3 linked regions of the Lytechinus pictus genome follow. The protein of the gene in region 2 binds, or shares a complex with, the protein of the main gene of each other region. Links are inferred from orthologs where the notes say so. Each region holds a gene or a part of one and is shown on either strand. Other genes may lie near its edges. The genes, in order: synaptobrevin homolog YKT6-like, geranylgeranyl transferase type-2 subunit beta-like and protein prenyltransferase alpha subunit repeat-containing protein 1-like.

Region 1 (7,414 bases), on a different chromosome or scaffold from region 2:
ATTTCCTACGCAATTCGAATGATACATTGAACTTAGTTGGTTGTACGATACAATGGTAGTGTTGCCAATCTACTTTGCATCGAAACCTTTAATAAAAATAAAAAAATAATAATAAAAATCTGCTGTGTATGGTGTGAACAAACAAGCACATATTAACTAGTTTTGGGCAATAATCATGGTAAATGTCCTCACTTTTTCAGAAATTATTGTGATTTGAAAAATTTGGGGATATACATGTAGATTCCAATTGGTGGAATTTTCGAGTGCCTTTTGCGGATTTTCTTCAGCTTGGACCTGGGAACACTGTTCATGATCAATATACAAATACATGTAAGGTGTACCAATTGAATCACTTTAGAAACAAAAATTATCATAAAATGATGATCTATACCTTTGTAAGATAGTTAGTTAAGCTTGATTCAATATAATTAACATTTATCAAGGCTAAGGGTTGCGCAAATGCAGTTTTGCATCGGCCAACTTCAAGCAAATTTCCCCACCAGTAATTCTTTGCAAATATCATAGCAAGTCTCTCATCACATCAGGAACGGAAATGAAGACTTCTCCTGTAGATTTTCTGGTCTTTACTTTGGGTATTTTACAAGTATATCTATACAGCTTGAACTTATGAATCTTTACATGCGTTGAGAAATAGAGGTTTTCAATCCCCCCCACCAGAACTTGTCCGACAGATCTTTAAATCTTTTCACTGATTCCACTGATTTAGCTTCCACTACTTCTGTAGGCAGTTTGTTCCAATCAGAAATTATACTTTGGCTAAAAAATGTACTTCTAGTTCTAAGTTCCAACCGAGATCGTCGTATGAAAAGCTTGAACTTGTAACCTCTTGTTGCTGAGTGCATTGCTGGTGTGAAGAATGTGTCACTAGAGATCCCCAACTTTCCATTTGACAGTTTATAAACAGTGATCATATCTCCCCTTCATCTTCTATAAAACAGTGAGTGAAGGTTGAGTCTCTCTAGACGTTGCTCATAGTTAAAATCTGGAGACCAGGAATCATGCGAGAAGCTCTCTTTTGCACCTTCTCTACTTTGTCTGCATCCATTTTGAATCTCACATGCCATAAAATGTTCCCATATTCCAGATGAGGTCGAATCAGACTTATAAACAAAATTGGTAATATTTCAGAGATTATTTGAGAAAAAGTTCTGTGTATTATTCCAAGTATTTGGTTAGCTTTCAAAACAGCTGCTGAGACTTGTTGATTAAAATTGAGCTCTTCATCCACAATGACACCAAGATGATCTTGGTGTCATTGTGGATGAAGAGCTCAATTTTATTGAGACAATAATAATTACTATTACAATAGTAATTATTATTAGAAAGTGATTATAATGATAACAATTATAATTATAATGATAATTATAATTGTAATAATTATTGAGACAATATTATTAATTAGACATCAATAATTATTATTATAAAAATAATTATAATTATAATAATCATAGCCCTTATAATTATTGAGACAATAATAATTATTATTACAATTATAATTATTATAAATAATTATAACAATTATAATAATGATAGTAATTATACATTTTGTAATAATTATTGAGACAATAATATTAATGAGACATCAATAACAATCATTATTATAATAATTATAATTAAAATAATTATAATTATGTAGGCCTTATCATTATTGAAACAATTATAAAATAATTATGATAACAATTATGATAGTAATTATAATTGTAATAATTATTGAGAATAATATTAATTAGACAATAATTATTATTATATTATAATTATTGATATTATAATTATGATTATAATTATAATTCTAACAATAATTTTGACAACAATGATGAAACAATGATAATGAGACAATACTAATATTTAAAATATTATTGAGACCATAATAACAATAATGCGATAATCATAATAAATAATTGAAATTAATCTGACTTTATTTTTTTCTCTAAAAATTCTGAGATTATTATTTGAATTCTCTTTCTTTTTATTTCAAATTATATTCATTGAAAATTTAATTTCTAATGTTCAAGCAAAAGAAATCCATATCAAGTCATGTTTACCCTGTGCACAAACCTACCAATGAGTACCAGTACCACAGGACAATTAGTACCCCGAAATAGGGTTAGGTGTAGATTTTTGGATGGGGTACCGTGTAGTTGTCCGGGGGGGGGGGGGGGTAATCGTCCAGGGGTAGTCAAAATCATTGCAAAAAAGCTTTCAAAATATTTGTACATTCCCCATAAGCTATGCATTATAATATAAGTGTGCCATGCCCAAAACAAAGAGAATAATAAGATTACGGCCCTGGATTACGCAATCATCTTTTGTCCACAAAAAAGTCATTTTGTATCACAAAGATGACAATAACTCGATTTCTAGAAGTCGGAATTTGAAAATTCAAACAGATTGTGAATCGTAGATATTGAGCCTCATTTATTGTGAGCATAAAAAACATGCTGGAAGTGGAAGTGGAACAGCCTTTCCTAATTTTCACCTGAAGACTGCCTACTGCCCCTGGTAGGGAAATTTGCTTGATTGAAAGTTGAAAAAAAAAATTGAACTTGAACTTTGAAGTTGAGGCCGGCCGATGCGAAACTGACTCAGTGACTGTCTTATTTTATACGCTGTCGCCTCCTCCCCCTCCCCCTTCCCCTCCAATCTCCATGCCGTCTGAAACTTACCCTGACCTTTTTTTCCGTTCAGTTCAGTTTATCTTCTGAGCTGACTCGTCACTGCTTCCACTCCAGTTCACGTTCCACTGACAGTACTGTTCCACTCTCACTCAGAGCCTCTGTTAGTTGTCGTTCATCATTACAATTTACACTCACACTGCACTTGACCATGGAGCCTGAGCAGTGGAGGTAGAAACTAACGTAACGTTAGAATGACTTGACTATTTCTCTTTCTCTTCTGACTAATCACTGGGCACGTCACGTCGCAGATCGTTCAATTCACTGTCACTTCTCTTGTTTGGAATCAGATGGGTGGTCTCGTAGCGAAGGACGGTGATAACGATGGATTTGTAGCTTCTTCTGTCAACGTTTATGAGCGATTACTCATTTACGCCGTACTGTGCGGTTTTTCTAGCGACCATTAGCGCATAATCCTGAAAATATCAGACCTAAAAATCGATTTATTATATTATGGTGTCTACAAAAGAGCAAACAAAAATAATAAAAAGTGTATTGATATTAGACTTCACACACCCTTCTAAACTAGGAAAGTGTAGCTAATGTAGTTCAGCAGAGCAGTCAATGGTACCCGGGAATGGTACACAGACTTAAGTTTATGGTCTAGTTGATAAATGTAAAGTCCACCCCAGAAAAATGTTCATCATCATCATCATCATCAGTGTACGGAAGAAGAAGGCAAGCCTGATGTCGAGACTTCCGGTCGTTCCTTTTGATAGTGCTTGTTCCAACTTGACTATTTTAAATGACTTGTAGATTACATGCATGCATGTTGCGTGGAGGGTGGACGGATATTTATTTTTTTTTATGTAGGGGAGAATTTGATGATGGCAAGACCAATGTTTGTCCAGCCTGTGTTTGAAGGACTCAATGTTGATTTGAATAAATAGAGAAATCAAACAAGCGGCGTAACAGTGAAAATTTCATCAAAATCGGATGTAAAATAAGAAAGTTATGACATTTCAAAGTTTCACTTATTTTTCCTAATTATATGCACAACTCAGTGATATGCAAATGAGAATGTCGATGATGTCCATCACATTTTTAATGTTTTTTTTGTTTGAATTTACAGATATGACAAAAAGGACCACACCGTCTCTAAAGACAAACCAGTCAAAAATGACTTAGGGTCAGCTGCAGTGGGTGCAACTGTTATTCTAGTCATATTTGAGTTTTTTCTAGTCGTATTACTAGAACAGAGTTATTTCGATATGTCAGAAATGTGATAATCATTTATTTTCATATCAGTTGCACCCAGCCGCTATACTGGTCTAGTCAATCATGATTTGTTTTAAGAGTGTAACTTGACTGAACCATAAAAATGTTAAAACAATGGCAATTCCACATGTTTATGAAGGAATTTGATACACAGAACAATTAATGAGACGAAAATTAAAATATTTCATATAAAAAAATACAAAGGAAATAGTGAATGAGTGACGCAATCAGTTCCCTCATTTGCATACAGACCAGAATGCACATATAACTATTTTGTGAAATTAAAAGAAAATCATAAAATGTCGTAACTTTCTTAATTTACATCCGATTTTGATGAAATTTTTAGTGTTGTGCTTGTTGGATTTTTCGTTTTTTCCTTTATTAACTTTTTATTGGGATGGACTTGTCCTGAGCCCAATGCGTCAGGCAGGCGCGGATCCAGGAGGGGGCCGAGCCGGCCCCCCCCCCCTATTTTTTGACAACCTGCAGAAAAAGTGTACTATAGGAAAAGCACTAAAGAAAAGTAGGAAAGAGGTATCATACCCAGGATGTGTAGTTTACAACCTCGTAACGGCCGGCCCGACCCCAAAAGGAAACAAGAAAAGGGTGAGGGGAAGAATTGGAAAAAAGAACTTTATATAAAAAATTTCGCTCGCGCTTTGCGCTCGCATTGCCTGTGCCAATGAATCCCATTCAAGAGGATTAAATGACACTTATATATCCAGATCTGAAATCAATTTGCACACAATATTTTAGCTCGCACATCAAGCTTTAATTATTTTGTTTGTTTTACACAAATTGTTTATATCAAAATTTTCAGCTCGCGCTGCGCGCTCGCATTGTTTGATTTGTGAGTTACCTATCCTCTTTGGAAATTCTTACCAAAATTTGTCAAAATGCTCCTTTATCATGTCAGTATATAAAAAAATTGAGCTTGTGCTTCGCGCTCGCATTTTATTGTTTGAGACACACAGCTTTTTCTGTATTTAAATAAAAACGCGCTTAGACTGTCCAGTTTTCAGGTCGGAATATCAAAAATTTTGAGCTCGCGCTTCGCACTCTCATTATTTAATTGGTGATACTTGTATCCTCTTCATTAATCAATAAAAACAGTCCTAATTGAGTCCCTTTTCACGTTACTATGATAAAATTTCGGCTCGCGCTTCGCGCTCGCATTGTTTAGTTGGATACTTATCTTTTTCATGATTATAAAATCTCCTCAGAATCTTCAGGTCTAAGGACATAAAATATCAAAGAATTTGAGCTCGTGCTTTGCGCTCGCATTATATATTAAGACCACATGATATACCTTATCTAGTTTATAACAATAAAAACTAACATATACTTAAAACTTCAGTCTCTATTTAGGACTACCCCCTGAACCCCCCCCCAAAAAAAAAAAAAAAAAAAAAAAAATCAGATTATAGCGGCCAATCGAGAAAAATGTTGATGAAAATATTTTTCGGCCCCCCCCCCCTATTGGCGAAAGCTGGATCCGCCCCTGTCAGGGGTGATAATTTTTGCCGTGGGCCCTATTGCACAATCCCCCCCCCCCCTACGCCACCCGCGAGGCCCCCTCTATATGATACAGAGGCAATGTACAGAGGCACTCCTACAAATGGGGTTGGACAATAAACTCACGATATGCGAAGGACACTTTACCGAAATCCCGCATGAATGTATCTTGAGTGTTAGTTATCATTAAATCCTCATAATGATAGGCATAGCTCTCATATTGATACATTTTGATTTTTAGCAATTGAAATTTTTAAATTATGAACATTGTGAGCGAAGCAATAGAAAATAAATCAAATCTGACAGTATCTCATCTAGAAAAGAGGACATTTCCCGTCTTTTGCACCTTTTTGAAGACACACTACAAGCTCTTTCATATTTCTGTGGTGATCGGGCGCTAATTGGTCGCTTGCGTGGGCGCAGCGCTAGCGGTCGACACGTCATTCTGAATGACTCATAATATTTTAAAGGTCTACACTAGAATTTGTGTACTTGAGGGTAGTTGCCAACTAAAAATTATATTCACAAATCAATATAATGCGGCCTGAATAACTCATGCTAGATTATAATCACGTAAAAATATAATTTATAGGTTTTAAATATTTAAAATAATATAAAAAACAAAATTGTTATATAAGTATTAAACAGATCTAAGTCTAAAAAATAAATCTCTAACGTTATGGTAGAGATTTTCTTCCAGGATGATCGCATTCATGTTATTGTTATTGCTCGCGCTACCTACACAAGGCTCACCGCCTATTGCTGGGGGACCCACCGGACTGTACCTGATGACAGCGCCGGGCAAGCCCCGTGCTCCAGAAGGCCACTATCCGCTGCTTTATCCCTGCCGCGCCTTCGGCCGGCCTTCGTCGTGCGTGTCTTTTTGGCAAGCAAGTGAATAGGTGAATATCGTAATGGCAAATTTCCTTTTATCAAATGAAACAATGAAGGAGTCATTCGGCAGGCAGGCCATTAGCATTGCCTAGACCAGTAGAGGCGCTGGTCCAAAAACTGGGATTGTCCCAGAAAACAAGGATATCCTCATAAACCAAGACAAATCATGTCTTGATAAATTGAGACTGTCCTTGTTTATGGGGACGTTTTTTTTTCACTTCTCCCTACGGGACAAAGACAGCAATTACGGAAATTGAGAGTGCTAAAAATAGATTCAGTGACCTCAATTCCCCCCAGTTCGCCGTCTATTTTTCATGACTTACCGTCTTCCAATAATCTTGTTATGAAACCTGATATGTTTACATTGACTAGCACACTTGATTGGTGTCGGCACTTGACAGGTGAATGAACTTTCCTAGATTTCTTGTGTGAAGAAATCCTTATAAACTGAGACAGTCCCTGTATTCTGGGACGATCCCAATTTTCTGACCAGCGCCTCTACTGTAGACAGCTGGCAGCCGTCTGTTTCGATGAGTTTTTAAACATTTTTTTCTTCTCCTTGTTAAAGTTAAACAGACGGCTCGCGGTCGTGCAGTTGCCATTACTTTGTCTTTAGGCTGATAATAGGGGGTTAACAATGCAATCATGGCAAAATCCCCTGATATCTATTTTAAAGCAAAATATATTATCACACAATTCGGGAGATGTTTTCGGGGCAAGCCTGCTTGAAGTTGATGACCCCAGGCCCCATATTGTCTTTTTGAGGCCCTTTTTTTTTATACATGAATGCTTGAAATGTAACATTTAATTACATTTTCATCATTTTTTTACTCAGAATATTTTAGTTTGTAGTTGTGTTATTATATGCTGGGTTGTATGTTTTCTCAATTGTTCATTTTTAAAGATTAAGGGAAACTGCTTTGACTTGGGAACATACACACACCATGAATATCACGATGATAATTGATACATCAGACAGTCCAGCATATATCTGATGTGCAAGTAACCCAGGGAGCTCCGGCCCGCACAGCGGGCCGGAGCCCAGGGGCTTACCGTGTATTTGACCATACTAAAAAAAACGAAAAGTTCTCTCC
Region 2 (7,392 bases):
TTCATGGAAAACTCTAGAAAGTCAAGTGTTTACATCAACTTAACTCTGTGAAATCATAATATCAAAGCAGAAAAAAAAATGACACAGAAGATCACCGACACAGAAAGGCACATGTGGGGCAGTGCATTATCATTGTTAGAAAAAAGACTTTGACACTTACCAGGCTAGCTGGAATGCCATGCTTGTTTCGTCCATTTCTCAGCAATTACACATTTCCTACCAGAATCATTTGGCAAAGCCCCCCCCCCCCGCCCTCCCCAAATGCTTAATTTTTTTCTAGATATGAGAGTTACAAGGGATAAAGAGACTAAACAAACTTACTTCTTTCCAATGAACACCAGTCCATAGAGAACGCCAGTCGCCATGATTACAAGGCAGGCAAAAATTTGACTAACTCCAACGCAGAAGAAGAACGGCACAATAGGTAACCTGGTGAGATCAAAATACATAGAGTAAATAAACACACCATGTATCATGCGCCATCTATCTAGTAAACTATTTGTGGCACAAAGGGATAAAACAAGGTTGGACGAGTAATTAGAAATTTTAGAAAACACCAAGATCACAATTAGAGAATGAAGTATGTGTATAAACAATAATTGAGCTTTTACAGATATTTATCAATCAGATAATTTACGTCTGGACAGACTTTCAACATCACCTTCTGAAAGACATATCCGGGGAGCATTCCATCAACATTCTTTGTCTGACAAGTTGTAAGAACAGACAACTTTCCTTTAATTTGATTAGCTGAGAAACACGGTTACTATAGTAACTGTTGGATATATAGAATTTGTTGAATAATATGTGCTTCAACTCCTTTCATGAAATGCTCCCAGCAGCTCAAAGCTCTGCATCAATTCATAACTTCCCCACGTAAATAATGTAGCTTTGGATTACAGGCGCACCCCACAATACCAGGTTGTGTTATAGTAAAGTAGTAAACACTGACAACACATATCATTATATGCTCTCGAGAGACCAATCTTTTGAAGAGTTGTGATGGAATCAAATCAAATAAAAATAAAAATATATTTGGGACCAGAGTAATCTGTTTGATGTAGAATAAACCGGGCCCTGTATTATAATAGATACAATCAGTTAATTGGAACTATTTGTGCATGGTTTTCCAAAGGTTTTAAGGGTTTGCTCGGATTTAAGATTGATTGTAATAATTTAAGTTTACAGGGTCCGAGGCTCTGTAACATAAAAGCAATGCATCGCGATTGATTTTGGGGCTGATATTTCAAATAATCAATGCAATCAATAATACATATATGCCGAATAATCAATCTCTAAGCTGCATGTTACAGCCAACAGGGCTAAGGCCTGAATAATTACTTAACTCTGGGCATATTAAAGTTGACTATAAAATGTTGACTTTGTACACTACTTACAAGAGATAGAAGAGAGCCTTCTGCCAAGGAGCTCTGTTTTCGCTCCATTTGCTGACTTTGTCTGTGATGTCAAGGAACTGGCAGCAAAACGGGGCTTCTAATAGAATCGTCAGGAATCCAAGAAGCCTGAACGTAAAAGAGGTTCAAAGGAAAAGGCTTTATTCGAAATTGAAGTTCAACCAGAGTAAACAGACGTATGAACAAGAAATACGATATGAGAAAAAGTACTTGATTACACAAATGACAATCACAGATCTAAGAAATACAATAATTCCAAAGTCATGAGAATAAGTACTTTATTACACAAATTACATTCAAAGATCTCTAAGAAATACAATAATTCCAAAGTATTTTCAAAATAATAATAATGTGATAAATAAGTATCATCAAAGAAGAAATAGCATGTGATGCAATATGCAAGCTCACCTCATAGAGTTCAAAATTGATTTTTTTTTTTAATCTTTCTTTATAAAAATTTCAATAAATTTAATCATATCTACACCGCATATTATGTGTTTCTACATGCTTCCCTACATTAAACTGCAATGAAATTAAGATATTACTAATTACAAGTTATAGGACCTTGAATAAGTGCATCAAAAATATCAGAGTATTGCATGGTGCATCAAAATGTGACCTATTGCACATAGGCTTGTAGACTTGTACAAAACTTGCTGTGCAATATATCAGGTCATGTTGCAAATGAATCACAGCAATCTAGCTAGGTGGAAAGGAGACACAATGATGAATTACATTTTTTGTTCTAACCACAGGTTGGGCCTAGTTATAGTTCTTATATGTAATTTTTTGCTTTACAGAAAGCCAAACTCATGTGTTCAAATACAAAGGTATCGATCCTGGGGGGAGGGGACAAACATATTGATTTTTCCCACTCCCCCCACCCCCCAAAAGTAATAACAATTAACTTGAGAAATATTATATCATAAGAAATGCAAATGTTTCGAAAAGCGTTGGAAAGCACTTAAACTCGGTATAATAATATCATAAATCTTATAATAATATCGTCAAGCAAAGTTCTGTAAATATATTTGGCATGCCCCCATCCCCTTCACCCAAAACATGGATCTACGCCTCTGTTCAAATATATGTCTAATAAAGAACAAATTGTTACAGGAAGTAAAGAGGACCATTCACAATGATTTTATTTCATGTGGGAGTGGCTACTCACATGATGTAGATACCTGCAACAATGCACAGTCCTTTGATTGAGATCATAGATACCAGTCCAAGAATAATAGCCACTGAAATACAAAAGGTAAAAATGAATTATAAGATATTTGATAACAACAATATTACGCTAAATTGCTAATTATTTGTCTACTGCCAAATCATCTACTCACCACATGGTATACTTTCATTTAGTCTAATGCCATTCCGTCCATCAACATGTCGTCTAACAACCATTTGGTCCAATCATCACTTCGTCTAATCACCATTTTGTCTATGACCATTTCGTCTCATAACCAGTTAGTCTAACATCCATTTCATTTTCATTCATTTTGCACAATTTAACACTTAGCCCAATTAGACCAAATGGTATATATGGACTAAATGGCTATTAGACCAACTGGTTATTAGACGGAATGGCATTAGACTAAATGAAAGTAGACCATGTGATGAGTGGACATACTGATGGTAGACCAAATGATAGCACACAAGTTGGCAATTGGACGAATTGGCATGAGACGAATTGGAAATAAAAACCAACATTACCTGTGAATTCATATAAACAGAGAAGGGCGAAAATGCTGCGGAACTGCAATTAGGGAAAATAGTTATCTTAAAGTTTGTGTTTTCACTCTACTCTTCTCCGACCAAACTACTTCTTTTGGGTTCACCATGGCATTGGATAATAATCTATATTCTATAACTCGAACTACATGTAGAGTATATGAAGTCAAGGCACTAAATGTAAAAACCAATGATACAGGTCCGACATTTTGTCATTTTAATACATAATTCCAAGAAGATTTATTACAAAAAAACACCCTTGTCCACCAACTCTCAAGTCTCTGACTAGACCAAAAGCTTCGGTCTCTGTTATGTTGGTTGTTCAGCTGAACTCCGTAGGCTTCACTCACCAAATACAGAGACCGAAGTTCTAGCGCGATCTGTACAGGGGACTCAATGGCCATATGTTTATGTGTATTAAGTTCGGATAATACAGGGCAGTGAAGTTGCGCGACAGCCGAGGTAAGTCACTGTTTTTGTTCCTTTTAACTTGCTTTTCCCCGTTTTTTGGCAATTAATGCCAAGAGGGAATATTAATTTGCATTTCGGTCGCGGTAATTTTCAAAAGTTTGATTCATTAAAGACAAAAATTGAAGAGCCCCGACGGGGGGATTTTGCATTGTAAGTCCCCTAATGGTGGCTGCACGATAGCGAGCCGTCTGTGTATGAGGAGAAATAAAAAATAAAAAATGTTAAAAAACTCCTCGAAACAGACGGCTGCCAGCTGTCTAGTCTCTGACCTGCTGTCTTCTTTGAAAAGAAATAGATCAAATCATTTTTATCATTTTTATCATTTCATCATCAATCATCATCATAACCATCATCATCATCATCATCGTCGTCGTCATCATCATCATCATCATTATCGTCGTCGTCATCGTCATCATCATCACCATCATCATCGACATCATCATCAAAATCATCATCACCATCAATCATCAATGCAATCATGACCATCATGACCATCATCATCATCAAAATCGCAGGATCTATTTACTAGGATCTAGACCATGTCTAACAATAAGACTAACGTTAAAATGATAGGTACCCTTTTCACAGGCACTTTTTTTTTATTCGGATTTGCTGATCAATATCACTCAGCGAATCCGAATACAAAAAAAAAATCACAATCAGTAATCACAATTTTCACACAAACATGATGTTGAATGTGTGGGACAATGCCAATGGCTAATTAACTTACACACTCCAGCTACAGAAGCAACAATCCTTACGAAAAGCCTGAAACAAAAACCCGTTTCTTTTTGTGGAGGTGGAGGTGATGCTTGCTGAGGTTGGCCATCGTTGCCCAAACTTTTGTACGTATCCGCCATCTTAAAGTATGAAAAAAACAGCAATCAAGAAGAACTTTCGCCTCTGCCAGCTTGTCCAATATTTTTTGATGACGTCATCAAGAGCAGAAGTGATACTTGAAAAAAATATTGCCTGTCGTCTTCACCAATTTTACGAAATGGTAAGTTTATAACTTATATTTGTAATATAGATATCATGAAATGTTGGAAGAGGCGTCCTGTCTTCAGTTGAGTAACAACTTAAGTACTTTATCCCTGTATAATTGGCACTTCTTTATTCGAAAATATGATAGTAGTTTTTTCCTTGCTTTGCCTTTGGTCCCATGTATTCAGAACGTCGTGTGTTTGTGTTGTGTGATTTTTTTTTCGACGGCTTTTAACCTTTTTATTGGCCCACACAGAAGAGGATGCACTGGTGCATGGACGGTGTAGACAGTCGTCACTGCCACACTAGGATGAGTCATGATGAGGGGAGGGGATCAAGTTATATTTTGAAATTCCAAAACTCAGTGGTCATTAACTATTGCAGATGCGCAATTAATGGCATGCATTATTAGAATATTAAAACTAAAACTTTCAAAAGTGGTAATGATGTCATTATTATGATGTCATTGTCATGAGACATGACATGACATTGACATTGTCCAACCATGGCATTGTGATCAGATGATGTTTGTCTTTGAGATGGTGTCTATATTTATGTCATTGCCACTTTGTCCGTGTCCCAGCTTTCCAATTATTACAATTACTATCAGTGATACAGATCCAATTTTTAAAGCATCTGAGTTTTGGGACACATTTTTCTTTCAATTCTCTACATTCCTTTTTATATGAATTGTAATTGAATTGAATTTTTGTATTGTTTCAAATGAGAGAGTTTTATACTCTCTGTCAATCAAGCAAATATTAATCATGCCAAAATGATGTTGTTTGTAAGAAAAAAGGTTAATCTCCATAATGCTTACAAGTATGTGCTACTAATACGGGAATATACCCTGTCCTCAAATGAACCCATGTGTGTTGAAATGAGAATAGAAATGTTTTGATACAGTTAACTGATTCGGTCATAATTAATTGAAGCAAAACATTGCCAGCACACAGGGGTAACTAACTGAGAATAATTCACATGAGATAATGTCTTAACATCTACCTTTTATTTCTCCGCCATATTTTCTCTACGTAGGGTACCCCCATCAAAGATGTAACTTTAAAACCAACAGCGCCAAAGGAACTCCTCTTGGACAAACATATTGAATACATAGCCAAGTATGGCTCTAAGAAAGATGATTATGTAAGAAACAATTGATTTGCTTTATCAATGAAAGTCAAATATTTAAAAACGTGCCTTGGAAAAATACATTTCTGTTGACATTGCCTTTTTGTAGTCATTTTTTTAAGGATTTGGATGTGATATTTTAAAGAATTTATGGTTATATTCAAGGTAAAGATTTCTTGTTCTCATAATTCAATAAAATTTCTAAGCAATTCTGTAAATAGCAGTTTGTCATAGCATACTGTGCATAACATTTTGACTTAAAAAAAGATTTATCATATACTTCTAGCTACATGTATTTGGAATTACATATATGCCTAGTAGGTAATTATATTGATATAATTCATAGTCATCATCTTCACCATAAACACCATCCCATCATCATCATTATCACCATCATCATCTTCTTCATCGTCATCATTATCATCATCATCATCATTATTTATTTTTTTTATATTACCTTCTTTATCTTTGTTATATTTGATAACTTGTACATTCTAGTACATAAAATGATGATTGTTTAATTTTTGTCTTGCCTGAACAAAGTTTGGCAGAGACCTAGTGATCACTTTCCTGTTAGTCTATCGGTCTGTTACAAAAATGTTGAAGTTTTTGTTCAGTTTGCTCTATTTCTTATTTCTGCATCAATTGTGTTTACACTTGGTACAAATAATCCTTGGGTAAGACCACATTTGTGTTGATGATGATCATTGGGTCAAAGGTCATCTCGGGGTCAAAAAATCTTATTGATCTCAAAAATAAGAAGAGATTTGTGGTTTATGAACCACCTTGTTATTGGATGATGATATGTTTAAAGGGGAATCCAACCCAAATAAAACTTGTTTTTATAAGGAAAAGAAAAATCAGACAAGTTGATAGGTGAAAGTTTGAACAATATTGGACAAACAACAAGAAAGTTATGAACTTTTAAAGGTTGTATATATTGGTAATCACTATACCCATGGAGACTTCAAATTGGCCACATATGGGATGTCATAATGATGTAAGGCAAGGACTACTCTTCCATGTACTCCAATACATATTATGGCTAAAATGTCATTTTCCCCAAAAGTTTTATTTCAAATTATATTTTTGTTTCATGAGGACATAAAACAATATACTTCCTGGGTTATATTTAGATTACTGCCCCAGGGGAATGAGTACTTAGGAGAAAACCACGAATCCCTGATAATAAAGTACTTGGCCTATGGGAAAGTTGTCCTTGCCCCTTGTCATAATTTACTTACCAGGTTGCCCATTTGAAATCTACATAGTATTAGTGATCTCAATTTTAAAGCAGCTATAACTTTCTTATTGCTTGTCCGATTTCTTTCAAACTTTAACCATTCTGTTTAATTTATTTTTCTCCTTCCCAACACAGCATTTTATTGCCAATGCTGGATTCCCCTTTAATAAAATGACATTTTTTATGTAATATAATATAACAGGAGTATGTGATGACTGAATACCTAAGGATGAGTGGCATGTACTGGGGTATCACTGTCATGGATCTGATGGGTCAGCTTGACCGAATGGACAAACAGGAGATCATTGAATTCATCGTCAGCTGCCAGCATGAATGTGGAGGATTTGGTGCCAGTGTTGGGCACGACCCCCATCTTCTCTACACCTTAAGTGCAATACAGGTGAGGGACCTGTT
Region 3 (7,086 bases), on a different chromosome or scaffold from region 2:
AAAAGCGGCGCCTACAGTCTCACTCTGCTATGCAGGTGAGACAAAAATCTCATATCTTTCTCCTTGATAGAATAACATTTATATTGCATGTACTGACTACTAAATGGACTTAAACTCACCGTAAATTCCATACTGTGTAACAATCTGGATTGAGTAAAAGCACAGCACAGCTGAATTCATGCACAGACTTCAAATCTGTCAAGTAGTCACAGAAGAGAGAGAGAAAGGGACATAACATAAAAAAATGTTGCACTTCTGCTAAACCAAAACTCTCCTGTATTGTCAATTGTATGGGAATGTTAAAATCTTAATCAATCATTCTGCTGTTTTTACAGAAGACTACACTCATGGTCATACACATCCAGCCTGTACACATCTGCCAACAAGAAGATGACTTTAAAGGAAATTTCCTTTATTGTTTATTAATCTATCTATTTTCAGACAAACTAGAAAACTGAGGATACCATGTACTTTTTTACAGTCTAAAAGGAAATTACAGAAAGAAAATACCTGCTAAGTATTAGGTACCTCTCAAAATACGCAAACTTCTGCAGGGATTTTTCTAAGACCGCTGTTGTTCGACCAACAGAGATTTCCTTCTGACTAATTCTGCTTGATTAAGAACAAGTATGATGGGGCTTTTACATGGAACTTACTTGACTCTGTCTCATGCATGCACTCTTCTCAATACTAATCAGGGTTAGCCTCAATGGGAAATCATAGTGGTAAATGCCGGTAAATGCCACCTCAATATTTTTTTTGGAATATTGGAAATAGTTGGAAATACTATGAAATAAATGTATATATACTTCTTGAATATTTTCAGGTATTGCCCAGGTGTTTCTCAAGCAAATTCTAGCATTTCCAAATTTTCCATGTACCTCCCTGTAGGATGGGGGTGGGGTGGTCAGACACTTCAAAATTTTGAAGCCTTCTTTTTTTTTGTCATTGGAATACACAAAATATGAACTGAATAGTTGTAATCTTCTTCAATTTTGTTCTCTATAATATTTCATATCACTTTGTACTATAAAACTGATGTAGCTTTACCAAAAGGCTGTTTAAACTTGATTGTCCGGACACACAACAACTGGGTATACATCTTACATGTAGATACCTCCTCGGATTTTACTACTTTTTCCCAGTATTTCCCAATCTAGGTGAGAAATACCTAAATTTGCTAACACTGTTTCCAATGCTGATAATAAATACCTTTAACTGTTGTACTCTTCTTCATTAGGTTGCTGTAGACAAATTTGAAGAGGAGATTAATGCTCCATGTTTGCAGCCCCAGCTTATGATTCTCGAGCACAACAGGACTTCTATTAACTACGGGTTCAGGACAATAGATGAAGTCAAACTCATCACTAAAAAGAACAAAAATAGTAAAATCAGAAGCTGAATTACTAAATATCCATTCTTGAAAGAGGGGAATATTTGGCAAAGAGTCCAGTGGTATTTAACTAGCAAGCAATTTAAACTCTGTGATATCTCAGTATCTGATATGCCCTTTTATTGTATTTACCCAAACTGAAAATAGGTTATAGTAGAACTAGCAGGGAGAAATAGGTGCAAATTACAAAATTAATGTACTTGAGAATAAAACAAAAAGCACTCACTCTAAAGCGAGGTTGTATATAGACAAACCTCGCTCAGTGAATGTCCCATGACTTGATTTTCAAAAAGTCCGCAAAGAATGCTTAAATAGTAGAAATATTTGCCAAAAATCGGTCTATTTACAACTGAACAAACATTGACAGTATTAACATTTACAATGGTAATTTTGATTTTTTTTTTAATGAGAAAATGATTTTTTTAAATCGCTTACCTCAATTTGGTCGATGGTTTTAATGAGATTTGACTGTAGAGAATATGTCCTGCAGGGACTGATTATAATTATGAGGGGAACAATAAAAAGCTCTCCTAAAGCAGTAGGGGAGCACTGCAAAAAGCGCTTCTTAAAGAAGTTCTTTGACATATTACTAGGGACAGTGATTTTCCGCGATCGCGGAAAACGGACGGAATGCACAGAAAGGGCCTTTTGAAAGGAAAGTGGCACTTCAAACGGAAAACATATTTTTCCTCAAAATACACAGAACAGCAACAGAAATTACTCCAAAATCTCAACAAAATATGAATATTACATGGCCACAAAACCCAAGAAAACATGATCTCAATTCGCTACAATCATGACAATTCACACATTGTGACTGGATTGGAGTCTCCTATATTGGCCCACTCACACGTATTGCGAGGTTAGTATTAGTATACTAACCTCGCACCACGAACCGCGTTTGGCAGTGGATTTCTAACTAGTGGGTCGCGCGTGCTGGGATCTCACTTCTTGGGTCCACAACAAACGACTTCTATGGCTTGAATTTTCTGTGCGCGGCGGCATGTAATGAACCCTTGGGTGATATTGGCCGTGCCGTGCGCCTCTTCTGTAGAAAATCGTTACAAGAAATTTCGAAATGACGAAAAAATAGACACAAATTTGTGGGGAAAAAAAATCATAAAACGGGTGGGACAACTCGGCCCGCGATGTTCCGAGGTCCAAGTTGTCCCGACCCCATTGTTTATTGACCTTTAAATGTGACTGAGAGACTTTCTGGAGGGGAAATTATTTGCTCGAAGTCGGCCGGTGCGAAACTGCATTAGCGCCGACAGCTCAGCAGCGCATTCCTACATAACTGCAGCTGTTCCAGAGCCAGTGGTAGTGGCAGTATAACGCTGCTAGCACTGCCTGTGCCACTGCCACTGGCGCTTCTTCATTCCACCGACACCAGGGTGCGAAAGCGCACTAGCGAAAATTTGGGCCAACAAAAACTTACATTTTAGGATCTCGACGAAGAGCACTGCTTAGATCCGCCAATATCCTCCTTGGTCGACTATCGTCTCCCATCATTAAAGTCAAAGTGGTTACAAAATTAGAAACATATCAGCAAGATCTTCAGCCGGAATTGGTGTCCCAAGTTAAAATACCGAGAAGGATTCTGTTTTGTTATGTGGTATACAGTGTCTGCAAAAGCACAAACAAGATACGGAATACAGAGGGTTTTTTGTTATGGGGGCCGGGGCTGACCATGAAAAAAAAAACATAATCAGATGGTATTTTTTACGTTTCTTTATGCGTGTGTGTAAGTGGGTCCGTGACCCCTATATATTCTGGAGCCGTTATACGGGGGAGGGACTTTGGGGAGGAGGGGGATCGACATAGGCGGATCCAGGGGGGCCAAGGGGCCCAGGCCCCCCCCCCCCCCTATTGGTGGAGCAAAAAATGAAAGAAAAAGGGGGGAAAAAAAAAAAGGAGGGAAAAGAGAGGAGAAAAAAGAAGAGAAGGAAGACGAATTAATGAAATGAGATGAGGGGAAGGCTTGGAAAATAAAAAGAATCTTTCATGTCACTATATAAAATTTTCGCTCGCGCTCGCATTGCCTGTTAGGTGACTTTATCTTGTTCAATATGGATCGAGCTTAAATATACAATTTACAAAACATATTTCACCTCGGAAATCGAACTTTCATTATTTGTGTGTTTTTTTTTATATTGATTTTTAAAAAGTGCTCTGTAAAACTGTCAGTTTTATGGTCTGAATATTAACATTTTCTACTCGTTTTCAAAGTATACATCCCTTGCAGCTAGGTCTGATTGTCAAAACGTACTAGCTAGCACTGCACGATCGCATTTTGATTGGCAAGTTATGTATATCTCAATATTGATTACAAAACTAATTACTTAAAATCCCCTTTTGATGAGTTTATCAAAAATTTTGGCTCGCGATTTGCGCTCGCATCATGGTTAGAAATATATTAACTGATGCATCCTATATTCATATATAATTACAAAAGTGCTTGAAATGTCCAGGTTTCAGGCCATAATATCAGATTTCACGCCCTAATTAGGCATATTAGATTAATAAATAAGATATTAATCTAATAATTTAAATGTCCCTGTTGTTTCATCTCGCGCTTAGCAAGAGGAATAGGAAGATAGTCATCATTTTTTTATAATTATGATGACATGTCCTAAGGAATTCAGAGTAATAATAATGAAAAATATCAGCTCTTGATTAAGTGTGATCCATATCCACCTCACAATTTTCCTACAAAGTGCTTGAAATATATAGAGCTAAAATACATAAAATTCAAAAAATTTAGCTTGTGCTTCGTGCTCGCATTATATAATTAAGAATTATATTATATATTTATGTTGATTTATACAGAAGTGACTATTAGGACTACCCCTTCAAAGAAACCAAAAATCATCTTCGAGCGGCCGATCGGGGAAAATATGGCTGAAAACCAGCCTAATTAAGCCTGCAGCTATATAGCCGCACGATATTCGGGGGGGCCCGGGGTGTGGTTCATTAGTATAAATGTATACGTATGAATGTGCCGTGGTTGAAACCCCCATTTTCAGCCTAAATTTCTGTTCTAGAGCAGAGCATTGCATGCTGCTAAACAGACAAACACAGATTTTATGCAGATGTCCTAGAGTCGTACATCGATCAGTCAGGGATTTCATTTATTAATTTTAACATTTTTATTTATTTCTTGGATTGCTGTCCAGTCTTCATTGGTAGTGATCAATGGAAGGTGGCTCAATTAAGGACCTTCCACAGTTAAAATGAAATAATCCATGTCATTTTCACCAAATTCTGCACAGAGTTACTTCAGCACCTACATGTAAATATGCCATATATGCAAAAATTAACATGGGTTCATATGTGCTTGATTTTTTGCTATTTCGAGCGATGAAGTTCACTGTTTTGAAAGGTCTCGAGAAATACTAATTAAATAGTATTTATACATATTCTATGAGATCTCAACGTTGAGTTTGATACCTCTATTACCAGTAGAAATCTATCTATATTTCACCAAATTTTATAGTTTAGAATTAAATCCCGCACTCAAATTGTTTTTTGTTTGCTCTTTAAAGAGTAGCAGCACCTTCAATTTTGAAAATAAGGTGTGAAAGACAACAAAAACATATCTTAAAAATTTGAAATTTATATAACAGATTTTATGAAGTACAATAAATGCTGCACTTTATTCAAAACCCATGTCATTTTCACCAAATTTTGCATGGTTGTAGAGAAAATTAAGTATACTAATGAGGTGTGTGAACATTCAGTAAAAATTGGGCGTTCATGAATGTGCTTGTTTTCAAACTATTTGCACATTTGTTGGAGCAAATGTGATTTTAAAAACACAAAATATGTTTTAAAAGGCTTGTATCTACATAAAGGAAAACTCTTCACCATTATCCCATTTAATCGAACTCGAGGTCATATTCGTCATACTTTGCAGCACTGCAGAGTGATAAAGTATTGTGAAGAGGTAGTAGAAGCATTTAAAAGTTTGATAGATTATTTTCAGCTAATACTCAAGATTTGCAGTTAGAATGTCAATGACTGGAAAAATCAGTTGATATCTCAATCTGTAGCCGATTACACACCTGTTCATTTATTGTGACGTCAACGTGCTTGCCAGCGGGGATGCGTACAGATGCTTGGGAATGTCCTTAAAATTCTCTATTTCATTGCAAAGAATATGAAAGGGCCATAATCAAGCAATATACCTAACATTATCAACATGAGTCAGCCTCTGGCTTTTAATGTGAGGTTTTGAAAGCAAAACTATTCATTAAAGGAGAAGTTAACCCTGACAATATTTTTATTGTACAAATTAGCAGAAAAGTATAAAATATTGCCAGAGTTTAGAGAAAATCCATTCAAGATTTGAAAAGTTAAATGACTTTATTTATTTCTACACAACTCCTACACCTAGGTTGAAAGGCAATTCAAAAGATTGGCAAATGATCAATTATATCTGGATAGACCAGAGTTATTATTATTAGAATGTACATTTGTTAATATATTATCAATTAGGAAGTCAGTAATGCATATCATTATCATTATCAAGTAAGTCTTTAATTTTGAAAAATTATGTTGTTTTTAATATTTCATGAATCTTGTTTCTCCCTCTATCCCATTTCTAGTTTTCTCCCCCCCCCCCCCCTATTGCTCTCTCTCTCTCTTTCTCATATCTATCTGTCTATCCATTTTTCTATTTTTTCTGATGTTTCTCCTAAGTTGTGTCTGGGATTCTATCTCCAAAAGAAAAATTTCAAACACAATTGTTTAATTTGATATTTTTGTACATGAATATCTTCATTTTATTGACATTTAAAAAATACCAGTCTCATGCCCATATGGAATGTGCTAGCTGATGTTGCGTAAAATGATACAACAAACAACATACGTTATTGCATGAATTCTTGCTTGGCAGATATCATGCGCACATGAAAGTACATTTGTAACTTCACAAGTGTATGATCTACATGTGTACATGTATTATGAAGGGGATAAAAAGTATCCTTTCTCCAGAATAAAATAAACCTGATCATATGATAGGATATAAACATGCATTCCTTACAGTTACATGTATTACAGTAGACATGTAATTCCTGTATTAGTGTCATAGAGATTCAAATGTCGCAGCACAAAGGTTTACAGAATTAAATAGCACCAGATATCTTCACAAAAACTTAGAGATTTCTTATTACAGAGCTTATGACAAGAAAGAGGACAATATATTTCTTTGTTGAAGTAATATCTACTCAAACGTTTCTACAAAGGTAAGCTTAAACAAAGCTATAATTTAATAATAGTTTAACAACACCAACAAAGATTTTCATTTCATTTATTGCAAAATAGCATTCAAACAGTTCTTGCTGAGTTTTTAAGACACATTTAACATTCATCACACAAGGTCAAGTCTGTTACATGACTATCAATACTTGTATTCTCTTCAACTGTTAACCGCTAACAATAATTTGTGAAATGAATTGTGCATGCAACTGAATATTAAATGTGTCTGATTAGCTCATCAAGTATGATGCTTAGGAACCAGTATTCATGTAAGAAATACTTGAGGGCGACAGGGGATTTTGCCCTCATGATGACCAAAGTTGCCCATAATTTTCCCTGAAAGAATGCTTTGGGGCCATCTATCTTTGAGTCATCCAAGAGTTGCTACATATAATTTTCAAGGATATCTATAAAAAAAAAAAATTCTACATACA

What was found.
Region 1: the proteins of geranylgeranyl transferase type-2 subunit beta-like (region 2) and synaptobrevin homolog YKT6-like are in contact, whole or in part, in a crystal structure (PDB 6J7F), measured with the Homo sapiens proteins. The link is inferred for Lytechinus pictus from reciprocal best matches to the Homo sapiens genes RABGGTB and YKT6. Residues at the interface, in NP_004573.2 of Homo sapiens: Thr3, Pro4, Gln5, Lys6, Asp7, Ile9, Lys11, Tyr37, Leu45, Trp52, Leu236, Asp238, Cys240, Arg281, Gly283, Asp284, Met285, Asp287, Phe289, His290; in NP_006546.1 of Homo sapiens: Lys60, Gln62, Asp63, Leu65, Asn83, Glu84, Tyr85, Pro86, Ser87, Leu153, Asn155, Thr156, Glu158, Arg189, Lys190, Cys194, Cys195.
Region 3: the proteins of geranylgeranyl transferase type-2 subunit beta-like (region 2) and protein prenyltransferase alpha subunit repeat-containing protein 1-like are in contact, whole or in part, in a crystal structure (PDB 6O60), measured with the Homo sapiens proteins. The link is inferred for Lytechinus pictus from reciprocal best matches to the Homo sapiens genes RABGGTB and PTAR1. Residues at the interface, in NP_004573.2 of Homo sapiens: Lys6, Asp36, Tyr37, Cys40, Met41, Glu43, Tyr44, Ile89, Gly90, His91, Asp92, Asp136, Trp138, Glu140, Phe177, Asp178, Gly182, Cys183, Arg184, Pro185, Gly186, Ser187, Glu188, Ser189, His190, Gln193, Trp217, Glu221, Arg222, Pro225; in NP_001093136.1 of Homo sapiens: Val61, Lys62, Leu65, Pro66, His69, Leu73, Arg76, Leu97, Asn98, Asp100, Phe101, Thr102, Thr103, Asn106, Lys109, Glu110, Leu113, Ile141, Arg144, Trp145, Pro192, Ser193, Tyr195, Ser199, Ile202, Trp203, Gln206, Val231, Ser232, His234.

Annotation. Positions count from the first base shown.
Region 1 is NC_087256.1:1,625,030-1,632,443, forward strand, and holds the start of synaptobrevin homolog YKT6-like, read right to left. Parts: upstream 3,102-7,414; 5' UTR 2,685-3,101; intron 1-2,684. UniProt on the Homo sapiens protein: Vesicular soluble NSF attachment protein receptor (v-SNARE) mediating vesicle docking and fusion to a specific acceptor cellular compartment. Functions in endoplasmic reticulum to Golgi transport; as part of a SNARE complex composed of GOSR1, GOSR2 and STX5.
Region 2 is NC_087259.1:24,339,066-24,346,457, reverse strand, and holds the start of geranylgeranyl transferase type-2 subunit beta-like, read left to right. Parts: upstream 1-4,340; 5' UTR 4,341-4,350; coding exon of another isoform or gene 4,351-4,480; 5' UTR 4,481-4,488; coding exon 4,489-4,620; exon of another isoform or gene 4,621-4,967; intron 4,968-5,642; coding exon 5,643-5,750; intron 5,751-7,180; coding exon 7,181-7,378; intron 7,379-7,392. Other genes in the region: calcium channel flower homolog, read right to left, coding at 322-429, 1,398-1,523, 2,587-2,659, 4,351-4,480. UniProt on the Homo sapiens protein: Catalyzes the transfer of a geranylgeranyl moiety from geranylgeranyl diphosphate to both cysteines of Rab proteins with the C-terminal sequence -XXCC, -XCXC and -CCXX, such as RAB1A, RAB3A, RAB5A and RAB7A.
Region 3 is NC_087249.1:4,778,108-4,785,193, reverse strand, and holds the start of protein prenyltransferase alpha subunit repeat-containing protein 1-like, read right to left. Parts: upstream 3,024-7,086; 5' UTR 2,906-3,023; coding exon 2,832-2,905; intron 1,368-2,831; coding exon 1,213-1,367; intron 196-1,212; coding exon 120-195; intron 1-119.